2 linked regions of the Arabidopsis thaliana genome follow. The protein of the gene in region 1 interacts with the protein of each later gene in a pairwise test. Each region holds a gene or a part of one and is shown on either strand. Other genes may lie near its edges. The genes, in order: RABA1d and AT5G55950.

What was found.
Region 2: the proteins of RABA1d (region 1) and AT5G55950 interact in a protein complementation assay, tested with the Arabidopsis thaliana proteins (one large-scale study listed by BioGRID).

What each region holds. Positions count from the first base shown.
Region 1 is NC_003075.7:10,319,057-10,323,565, reverse strand, and holds RABA1d (RAB GTPase homolog A1D), read left to right. Parts: upstream 1-1,992; 5' UTR 1,993-2,226; coding exon 2,227-2,447; intron 2,448-2,986; coding exon 2,987-3,410; 3' UTR 3,411-3,704; downstream 3,705-4,509. Other genes in the region: AT4G18810 (NAD(P)-binding Rossmann-fold superfamily protein), read left to right, coding at 20-135, 216-339, 426-539, 618-698, 798-938, 1,205-1,303; NRAMP5 (NRAMP metal ion transporter family protein), read left to right, coding at 3,906-4,483.
Region 2 is NC_003076.8:22,657,317-22,662,062, reverse strand, and holds AT5G55950 (Nucleotide/sugar transporter family protein), read left to right. Parts: upstream 1-1,557; 5' UTR 1,558-1,809; coding exon 1,810-1,888; intron 1,889-2,036; exon of another isoform or gene 2,037-2,104; coding exon 2,105-2,256; exon of another isoform or gene 2,257-2,341; coding exon 2,342-2,550; intron 2,551-2,628; coding exon 2,629-2,722; intron 2,723-2,820; coding exon 2,821-2,987; intron 2,988-3,073; coding exon 3,074-3,244; coding exon of another isoform or gene 3,245-3,305; exon of another isoform or gene 3,306-3,327; coding exon 3,328-3,652; 3' UTR 3,653-3,951; downstream 3,952-4,746. Other genes in the region: emb2731 (Uncharacterized protein family (UPF0172)), read left to right, coding at 4,169-4,390, 4,720-4,746.

The sequences.
Region 1 (4,509 bases):
TAAGTTGGCTATTTTTCAGCTTATGTTTAGCAAATTTGAGTATGATGGTAAGCTTAACCCTACATTCAAAGAAGGACCTTTCGAGCTTCCTTTATCTAGCATTCGAGCTTATATCCAAGACCCCGTCACTCCAAGGTCTGATCTAGTTTCTTGCTTTTTAGAAACCAAACTCTTCACTAAATGCTGAACTAGCATTTCGTTACTTATCGTTACAGGTTTGTTCACGTTGGCTCTGCGGGAGTTACTCGACCAGAGAGACCCGGTTTGGATCTAAGCAAACAACCTCCGGCCGTGAGATTAAACAAAGAGCTTGATTTCATTCTCACTTACAAGTTAAAGGTTTGTCTCTCTATACTCTCTGCTTCGCAGAAAATTGGAAAAGTCATTTTCAAAAGATTTTAAAGCTCTTACTTTTGAATGACTAGGGAGAGGATCTGATACGCGACAGCGGGATTCCATTTGCAATTGTACGGCCATGTGCTTTAACAGAAGAGCCTGCCGGAGCTGATCTCATTTTCGAACAAGGAGACAACATTACGGTATTTTCAATTTCGCTTCTCCTTGAAATCCAACAACTCTTTAAGTTAACTAACCTAACCAACTTTACCTTTATATAGGGGAAGGTATCAAGAGACGAAGTAGCGCGTATATGCATCGCTGCTTTAGAAAGCCCGTATGCTCTTAACAAGACCTTCGAGGTTTTTAAAGAATCATCAATTTTTCGATTTTTCCGGGTTGCTATTCAAAAAGTTAAATTTCTGAATTGGGCTGTTTTGTGTGTTGTTTGTTTGTTTCAGGTTAAAAGTACGGTTCCGTTTAGCGAGCCTTTCACGGTAGATCCTGAGAATCCTCCACCGGAGAAAGACTACAATGAGTATTTCAAGACTCTGAAAGATGGAATCACCGGTAAAGAAGCTTTAGAACAGAGCACTGTTGCAGTTTAAACCAGGTTTTATCTACTTTTGTAACTGTGTGTTGTCTCATCTTCGTTAAAAATCTTTCCAAAAGTAAAAACAACAACAAAAGAGTCGTGTAGAAACATGTTTGTATACTCCATATATCGTACATTGTAGATAAGATTTACAAAAGCTTATTGACGACAACAATAAAGATTGTACCTTTTGATCCGTGGAGGTTCTTCAACAAGATTCTGAAATTTCTCTGCCATTTCTCTGTCTGTGAGAATTTTGCCTTGTGGTGTAAGAAAAGCAGTCCGTTGAAACGGTGGAGACCAGATACCGCTTGTCTGGTAATCAAACTGAAACTCAGACACGTCAATGTACTTCTGAAGAAGTTTGTCTGAAACTGGTTTTGTAACATTCTGAGTTAAAACAGAGGAAGAAGATGAAGATGTAGGTGGAGTTTCAGACATTTTTTAAAGAAAAGAAAAAGTAAAGAATCTAAATTTTGATAGGAGGGTTTCATGAGGAAAAGGGTTGATGGAGACTTTTATGGTAATGACAAAATAATGGATTTTTTGGCTAATAATGGAGGATGAGTGGAGAGGAGCACAGAACATTTGTCTATGTTCCTTTTTCACTCTTTTTTTTGTTTCTTTTCTTAATGTACAGATGCGTTTTTGGATTACATATTACATAATACACAAATCATTGAACTCTTTTCACATGGCAGCAGATATGTGAGTTTTTGCTAACCTCAAAGAATTTAGACAATACACACAACTACTATGTGATTAGCCCATATGGGCTTCCATTTTAGTGTGTGTTGAAACCCATTGGGTATATACAGAATCCACTAACTAGAAGATAGAGCTAGAAATGTTTCATTTTTGTTAGATCATCATTGAGAGTGACTGAAATATCGCCGTTTACCAATGTAACATGACCACCACCACTACTTTTTGACCTTTTCAAGAAAATGAAAGCATGTAACATATACATACAAAAGTTTAACGAAATGTCGGATCTACCCCTGATCTTAGGGAGTGAATCCGGGGTAGTTTAGTACATGTATACAAAATATTTCACCCAGAATCTATCGGTGATCATGGTCCAGCTAGAAAGACACCAGTCTTACCCTAACTTTTTTCAAAGTCTGTGTCTTTCTGTAGAAATCTGAGGAATAAATATTTGAATCTAAAGAGAATAAAGAAGAAAGTAAAAAAGCAAAATCGAAGTTTTGTTCAATTTTCTGGGATCATAGAGCAATTTTCGTTTCTTTATTCGTTGAAAGTGTGAAGCTTTTTTGATTCAGTGAGAAGTGTTAATGGCGGGTTACAGAGCAGATGATGATTACGATTACCTATTCAAGGTGGTTCTGATCGGTGATTCAGGTGTTGGAAAGTCCAATTTGCTTTCTCGATTCACCAGGAACGAGTTTAGTCTCGAGTCTAAATCAACGATCGGGGTCGAGTTCGCGACTCGTAGCTTGAATGTTAATGAAAAAGTCATCAAAGCCCAGATTTGGGACACTGCTGGTCAAGAAAGGTTTAAGCTCCGTCTCTTTGATTTTGTCTTCATTTGTTCATTTCTCGATCTGTGTTTTAGGTATTGGCCTTCTGATGCATTGTGGAGTCAATACAATTTCATTAGATCTGTCTTAGTTAATGGAATCAGTTTATCGTAGAGAAAGCTTGAGAAATCAACCTAACCTGTGATCGTGTATATAATTACTGGAGGTGAAGTGTACATTGTATTTGTGTATAATGAGAGAACTCAACAATTATGCTTAAAGTTACCAGCTTTGTAGAAATTCTGTTGTTTTGCTGATTAGTTTGATCAACCAGTGGTTGATGATAATCTTCGGTATCGTATATGTTCATGGTGTTTCTATATGTTCGTTAATTCTGATGACGATATCGATTTCTTTAATGATCGTTTTCTACCATTGAAGCTGAAGAGCTTATTGCTTTGAAGTCTTTCTTGTCATTTCGGTTCTTATTATGTTCCTATCTTTCTAATTTAACAGAGTTTCAATGACTAAGTCGTTAACGGGTTTTTGTTTCTCCTCTTTTCGCTATTTTTAGATACCGAGCAATCACTAGTGCTTACTATCGAGGAGCTGTTGGGGCGCTTCTTGTTTACGACGTAACCCGACACTCAACATTCGAAAACGTTGAGAGATGGCTAAGGGAACTCCGTGACCACACTGACCCAAACATAGTTGTGATGCTTGTGGGAAACAAATCCGATCTTCGCCATCTTGTAGCAGTCCAAACCGAAGATGCAAAATCTTTTGCAGAGAATGAATCACTCTACTTCATGGAAACCTCAGCTCTTGAATCTACCAATGTTGAGAACGCGTTTTCTGAAGTACTCACTCAGATTTACCATGTTGTGAGCAAGAAAGCAATGGAGGCTGGTGAAGATTCCGGTAATGTTCCTTCGAAAGGAGAGAAGATCGATGTTGATGTTTCCGCAGTGAAGAAAACTGGTTGCTGCTCCAACTAAATGGTCTTATGTCCTAAAGCTGAAATCGGTTTTTAAATTTTACATTCAAATTTTGTTTTTGAAGATGTTTGCTTTTTTTTAGGAAAACAAACTATGTTATGCCTTTTGATTTGCTTGTTTGAAAATTGCTTAGCTTTGGTCTGATTCTGTACCGGTTAAGGGATTTTGTAATTTAACCGGTTCTGGTCTATGGTTTGTTTTTAATTCAATCCGCAAATATCTCTAAACCAATATTTATTGTGCTAATCCTTGAACACAACTAATTTTTGTTATACCAATTTAGAAAATTTTCGTCAAAAAAATAGAGATCACAATTCAGTTTCTAATAATAGAAACTTTTAATAACAGTTCATTTTTAGAATTTGCTTTTGTTTTCTCATTTGACTATTCTTGACTTTAATTTTAATTTTATCAAAATAATCCATGTAATCTTTTAAAATTTTCTTAAAACAAATCACGTCGTCAGTAACGCCGAAAGAATATTCCGTTACTAAGATGACGGGATCCACCGTTTCCCGCCAAGAAAACAGCCCTAAGAGACCAAACGACAGTAACGGCGAATTCAAACGTCTATTAGTTCCCGAAACCTCTCAGCCAGAGGAGGACGAGCTTCACGAATCGCCACCGGAGAATCAGATCCTGAACGTAGAAGAAGACAGAGACAAAACCTACGATTCAGTTCCGCCATTCTCATGGGCAAAGCTATGGAAATTCACCGGACCTGGATTTCTCATGAGCATCGCGTTTCTAGATCCAGGAAATATCGAAGGAGATTTACAAGCCGGAGCTGTGGCTGGTTACTCTCTCCTATGGCTTCTTCTATGGGCGACGCTAATGGGACTTCTGATGCAGCTTCTCTCTGCTCGTATCGGTGTCGCCACGGGTCGACATTTAGCGGAGATTTGTCGAAGTGAGTATCCTTCGTGGGCGCGAATCTTGCTTTGGTTCATGGCGGAGGTTGCTTTGATCGGAGCTGATATTCAAGAAGTCATCGGAAGCGCGATCGCTCTTCAGATTTTGACTCGAGGGTTTTTACCTATTTGGGTTGGTGTTATCATCACATCATTTGATTGGTAAGCAAAACTAGGTCTTTGGCTTA
Region 2 (4,746 bases), on another chromosome or scaffold:
TTTGTTAGGAAATGACAAATTAGTGCTTGATATCATGCATGAATCATGATCAAAAGTTGGCCCCATGTTTTTAAAAACATGGGCTAAAATTTTGGGAAAAAATTAACGAAAAAAAGATTGATGAAATAATTCTGTCAAGTACATAATAAATTCATAATACGAGAATTACGTGAATAACCTAAATTTTGTATCAACATTATTAAAAAAAATAGTGTAGAGTTTCATAAATTAATAAAATAATTTAAATTCAAACTCTAATTAAATCTAACCTCTAGACTTTAAAATCTTAACTATAAATCCGTAATGCATGGAAACATTAATTCTTCTGTAAAACAATAAACAAAACAAAATGGTCAATTGTTTAGAAAGTTCAGTATTTTAGTTAGATGAAAAAGATTTACAATAATAATTGTGTGATTTATTGAGTAATGATCGGGTTTATTCACCAGCCATCAGGCGGCTGATCGGGCCAGTTAACTAACATAAGGTCTGAATAAAAATGGGCCGAATCAATAAGGCTCGTCAATCTCAGTCTTGTGCTACATGTATTTTCACTTCTTCCACTTCCAAGTTCAAACAAATTTCGCCAAAATGGGATTACCTTTATGAACCAAAAGACGACCAGGGGACCTGACTTTATCGGTGTTAATGTTTCAATCATACTAAAATCGACAGAAATTAAAGTAGTGGATCCACAAATCTTACATTTTTATTAGAATAAGAAGTTTACTTATACAAAGAGATGATGACGTGGCCATGCAAGCTTTTTGTTTTATTACGTAGGCCCTCGGCTCCAAAAGTTTGTTGAGACTTCGAAATCTTGGAATTAAAGCTTCTCGTTTTCGAGGTCAAGCGTACATGTTAAGTCATTTTTATTCGTAAAGTGATAATAAGCTTTTTAAGTATCATCAACTTTCATCACTTATACATAAAATTCATTTAATTTACTCTTTATACGTATGACACTTAACCAAAGCTTTTGCTATTTAATCATTTGGCTAACTAACACTTCTTTCTTTCTTTCTTTTGGTAGGTTGCGGAACTAATTAACGCTACTCTTTCAAAGTTAATTTTTTTTACTGATAGTGTTATGTTTCCACAACAGTATGTTGCGTGAGGTGACGTCTATATGCTTATGACTATAAGCTAGCAGCTTAAACTATGTACAAAAATGTACAATGTCATTATTGTGATCACAAAATTGGTAGTTAGTTAATGTCATATATATATATATATATATATGTGTGTGTTTTAATTTTGTTAGGTACAGAGGCACTCTTGTAAATAAAAACTACCACTAAAATCTGAATGTTTTGTGCATTAAAAAAGAAAGAAAGATAAAACCTCGTACCGATCTGAATAATTTTTTATCAATGAAGTCACAATTTTGTACGTTGATGAAGTCAACACGTGGCAAATTACAAACTCGACAATTTCCTCAAGAGAAACAAAAAAAATCCCTGAAAAATTCCTCAAAATTTTCTTAATTTTCGAGATAAATTGATTTAAAATAAAATAAAACAGAAAGATACGCAATGAAACTGCGTTTTCAAGCAAACTGCTAAATTTCTATCTTTTTTTCTCTCTCTCTCTCTCTCTATAAGGGCTCTGCTTCTTGTACAACAGCCGAAACAATTATACCATGACATTAAAATCCAGATTTTTTTCAGTCATTTTCGTATTATTTGTTTAAAAGTAAAGTTTTTCTTCCATCAAAATGGAAAATGTGATCTGGTTTTTTTCTTAGAAGATATTAAAACAATCGGAGAGAGGATTGCAAATTTTTTATTTTTGTTAATTTGCTGTGTGATGGGTCTGGTTGATTCTTTGTTAGGAAAAGATGCAAGAAAATTTCTCAAAAGGAAAGATAGTGATGCTGCAGAAGCAGGTACGTCATTATTATAACAACAATTCATGAATCTGCCTCCATATTCTTCATTTGATTTGCCTCATCATAATTCAGATTTCTCATGATCAAAAATGATGCTTTATTTATTCCCACGTTGTCTCTGTTCTTCACCGTTTAAGTTAAATGGTTTTGATCGGATCTTTAATGGTTTTGATCGGACCTTTAGGCTTTTTTGATCTGTTTGTGAATTTGTAGGACGAGCTTTGGAAGAACTCAGAAGTTCTTTGTACAATGAGCTTAAAACATCAGAAGGAGCTAAAAGGCAACAACAGAGATTTTGTGGCCCTGTTGTTGCAATGTCCTTTAATTTCGTTGTTGCTGTTGGAATCATCCTTGCCAATAAATTAGTAATTTGGTTTCTTCAATCTCAAATTCTTCTTTCTCTTTTTTTTATTTACCATGTGAATGTAATTGTAAGGTTGAATTGTGCAGGTGATGGGAAGAGTTGGATTCAATTTCCCAATCTTTCTAACATTGATTCATTATACCGTGGCTTGGATTCTTTTAGCTTTCTTCAAGTCTCTCTCTTTGCTTCCAATGTCTCCTCCATCAAAGACAACACCTTTCTCATCTCTTTTCTCTCTTGGAGCTGTCATGGCCTTTGCTTCTGGACTCGCTAATACCAGTCTCAAACACAATAGGTTCATAGCTCAATCGCTAAAGTTTGAATCAAGATTCATAGCTTAAGCTTGAAAGCTTTTGTTCTTCTTTGTTTCCAGCGTTGGATTCTATCAAATGGCTAAGATCGCAGTTACACCAACGATTGTTCTTGCCGAGTTTGTTCTCTTCAAGAAAACCATTTCTTCCACAAAGGTTTCGCTTATATCTTTTATGACATGTCAACAAAACAATCAAGAATTCATTACATGTTTTTGGTGCTTACTCTGTTTTTGCAATTTGTCCTCTTACAGGTCATGGCATTAGCTGTAGTATCTCTAGGTGTGGCAATCGCGACAGTGACGGATCTAGAATTTAATTTGTTTGGTGCATTAGTTGCTGTTGCTTGGATTATTCCAAGTGCCATTAACAAAATACTCTGGTCTAATCTTCAGCAACAAGCTAATTGGACTGCCCTAGCGTAAGAAATAAGAATCTCTCTCTTTTACTTTTACTTGAGGTGTAAGCAATACAAGTCTCTTAAAATAAAGGCTTTATTGAATGTAGATTGATGTGGAAGACAACACCGTTTACTGTCTTCTTCTTGTTGGCTCTCATGCCATGGCTTGACCCACCTGGAGTTTTGCTTTTCAAATGGGATTTAACTAACTCTTCCGCAATCCTCATCTCGGCTCTTCTCGGCTTTCTTCTCCAATGGTCTGGTGCACTCGCTCTCGGGTTAGTCTTTTTGTTCTCTTGCTTTGGTTGGAAGTTCAGTCTTGAGGTTATAAAATGCTAACTAAATTTGTTGTTTCTTACAGGGCAACATCAGCAACATCTCATGTAGTATTAGGGCAATTCAAGACATGTGTGATCTTGCTTGGAGGTTACGTTATCTTCGGCTCTGACCCTGGTTTCATCAGCATCTGCGGCGCTATCGCAGCTCTTGGAGGCATGTCTGTCTACACGTGGCTCAATCTTCCGGGGAAATCCATCGATCACATGTCAAACAAGCAGCTGCCAAAGCAAAACGTCACCGTTTCAAAACCTAAAGCCGAGGCTGACGACGGAGGAGGAGAGACCGGAGTAACCGTAGTTTCTGTTGACCCACTTCTCTCCAAGACGATAACTGCAAATATCGTATAGTTTTACAATTTGATTAGATTGCCAAAGAGAAAAAAAATGAGTTTTACTTTTTCTTCTTCAGGTTTTAGTTTGTAAAATTGGTTCAGTTTTGATATCAAATTAGTGTAGTAAAGTATACTAATAAAAATATTTTGATATCATAATGTGACAAGAGGGCTTGGTGGGTTTATTTGTACGATAATGAAATAGATGGTGTAGTTTAGAAGTAATGTAAAACTTGATGTGTATTTTTTTTTTTGTCGTCACTTGATGTGTATTATGAGGTGCAATTAGTAAATATAATAAACCTTTTTGACTTTTTCTATAATTTCAAAAACTTTAATGTAGTAAAGTGAAAACTTGTGGGGAATAGGGTTTTCGGTGATAAAATCGGGCTGACCCGAACCCGGTTTAGTGCGAGATTCCACTGTCCGTCGTTAACAAAGGAGCTAAATCTCAGAACGATTTCTCGATTTGCTTTTGCGACATTATAATTTTCCTTTCAATTGACTCAGTGAGTCGCCGATCGAGTTAGAAATGGGAATGGGAAGTAACGGAGAATTGAAGTATGAGATCTCCCAGAACGCGTACATCAAACTCGTTCTTCACTCGCTGCGACACAAGACGGCGGCGGTCAACGGAGTCCTCGTCGGTAGAATCAGCCCTAAGGACGACGGAGTTGTAGAGATCTCAGATTCTGTGCCGCTCTTTCACTCTAACCTCGCTCTCCTTCCTCCTCTCGAGATCTCCCTCATCATGGTTCGTATCTCTTCTTATTCGAATCGATTTGATTTTACGAGCTTTGAAATTGAATTTTGAAAGAGATTATGATCTGATTGCATTGGTATGTATATTGAATTACGAATTCTGGAAATTTTTAGTTCGTGTACTAAGCTTGAGCTGCATATGTTATTATTAGCTTGTTCTTAGTTTTCTATATGTTTGCTTGATTCTCAGTGAAGTCTTATTGTTGTTTCTATATTAACATAGAAATTTCAGATCTTTATGTGTTTGTTCTGTAGCTTTGTTTGTACCTATATCCTTTAAAGAAAAACTTACGGATTCAGGTATATTTTTTGTTGTGGTAGATAGAGGAGCATTATGTGGCTCAAGGT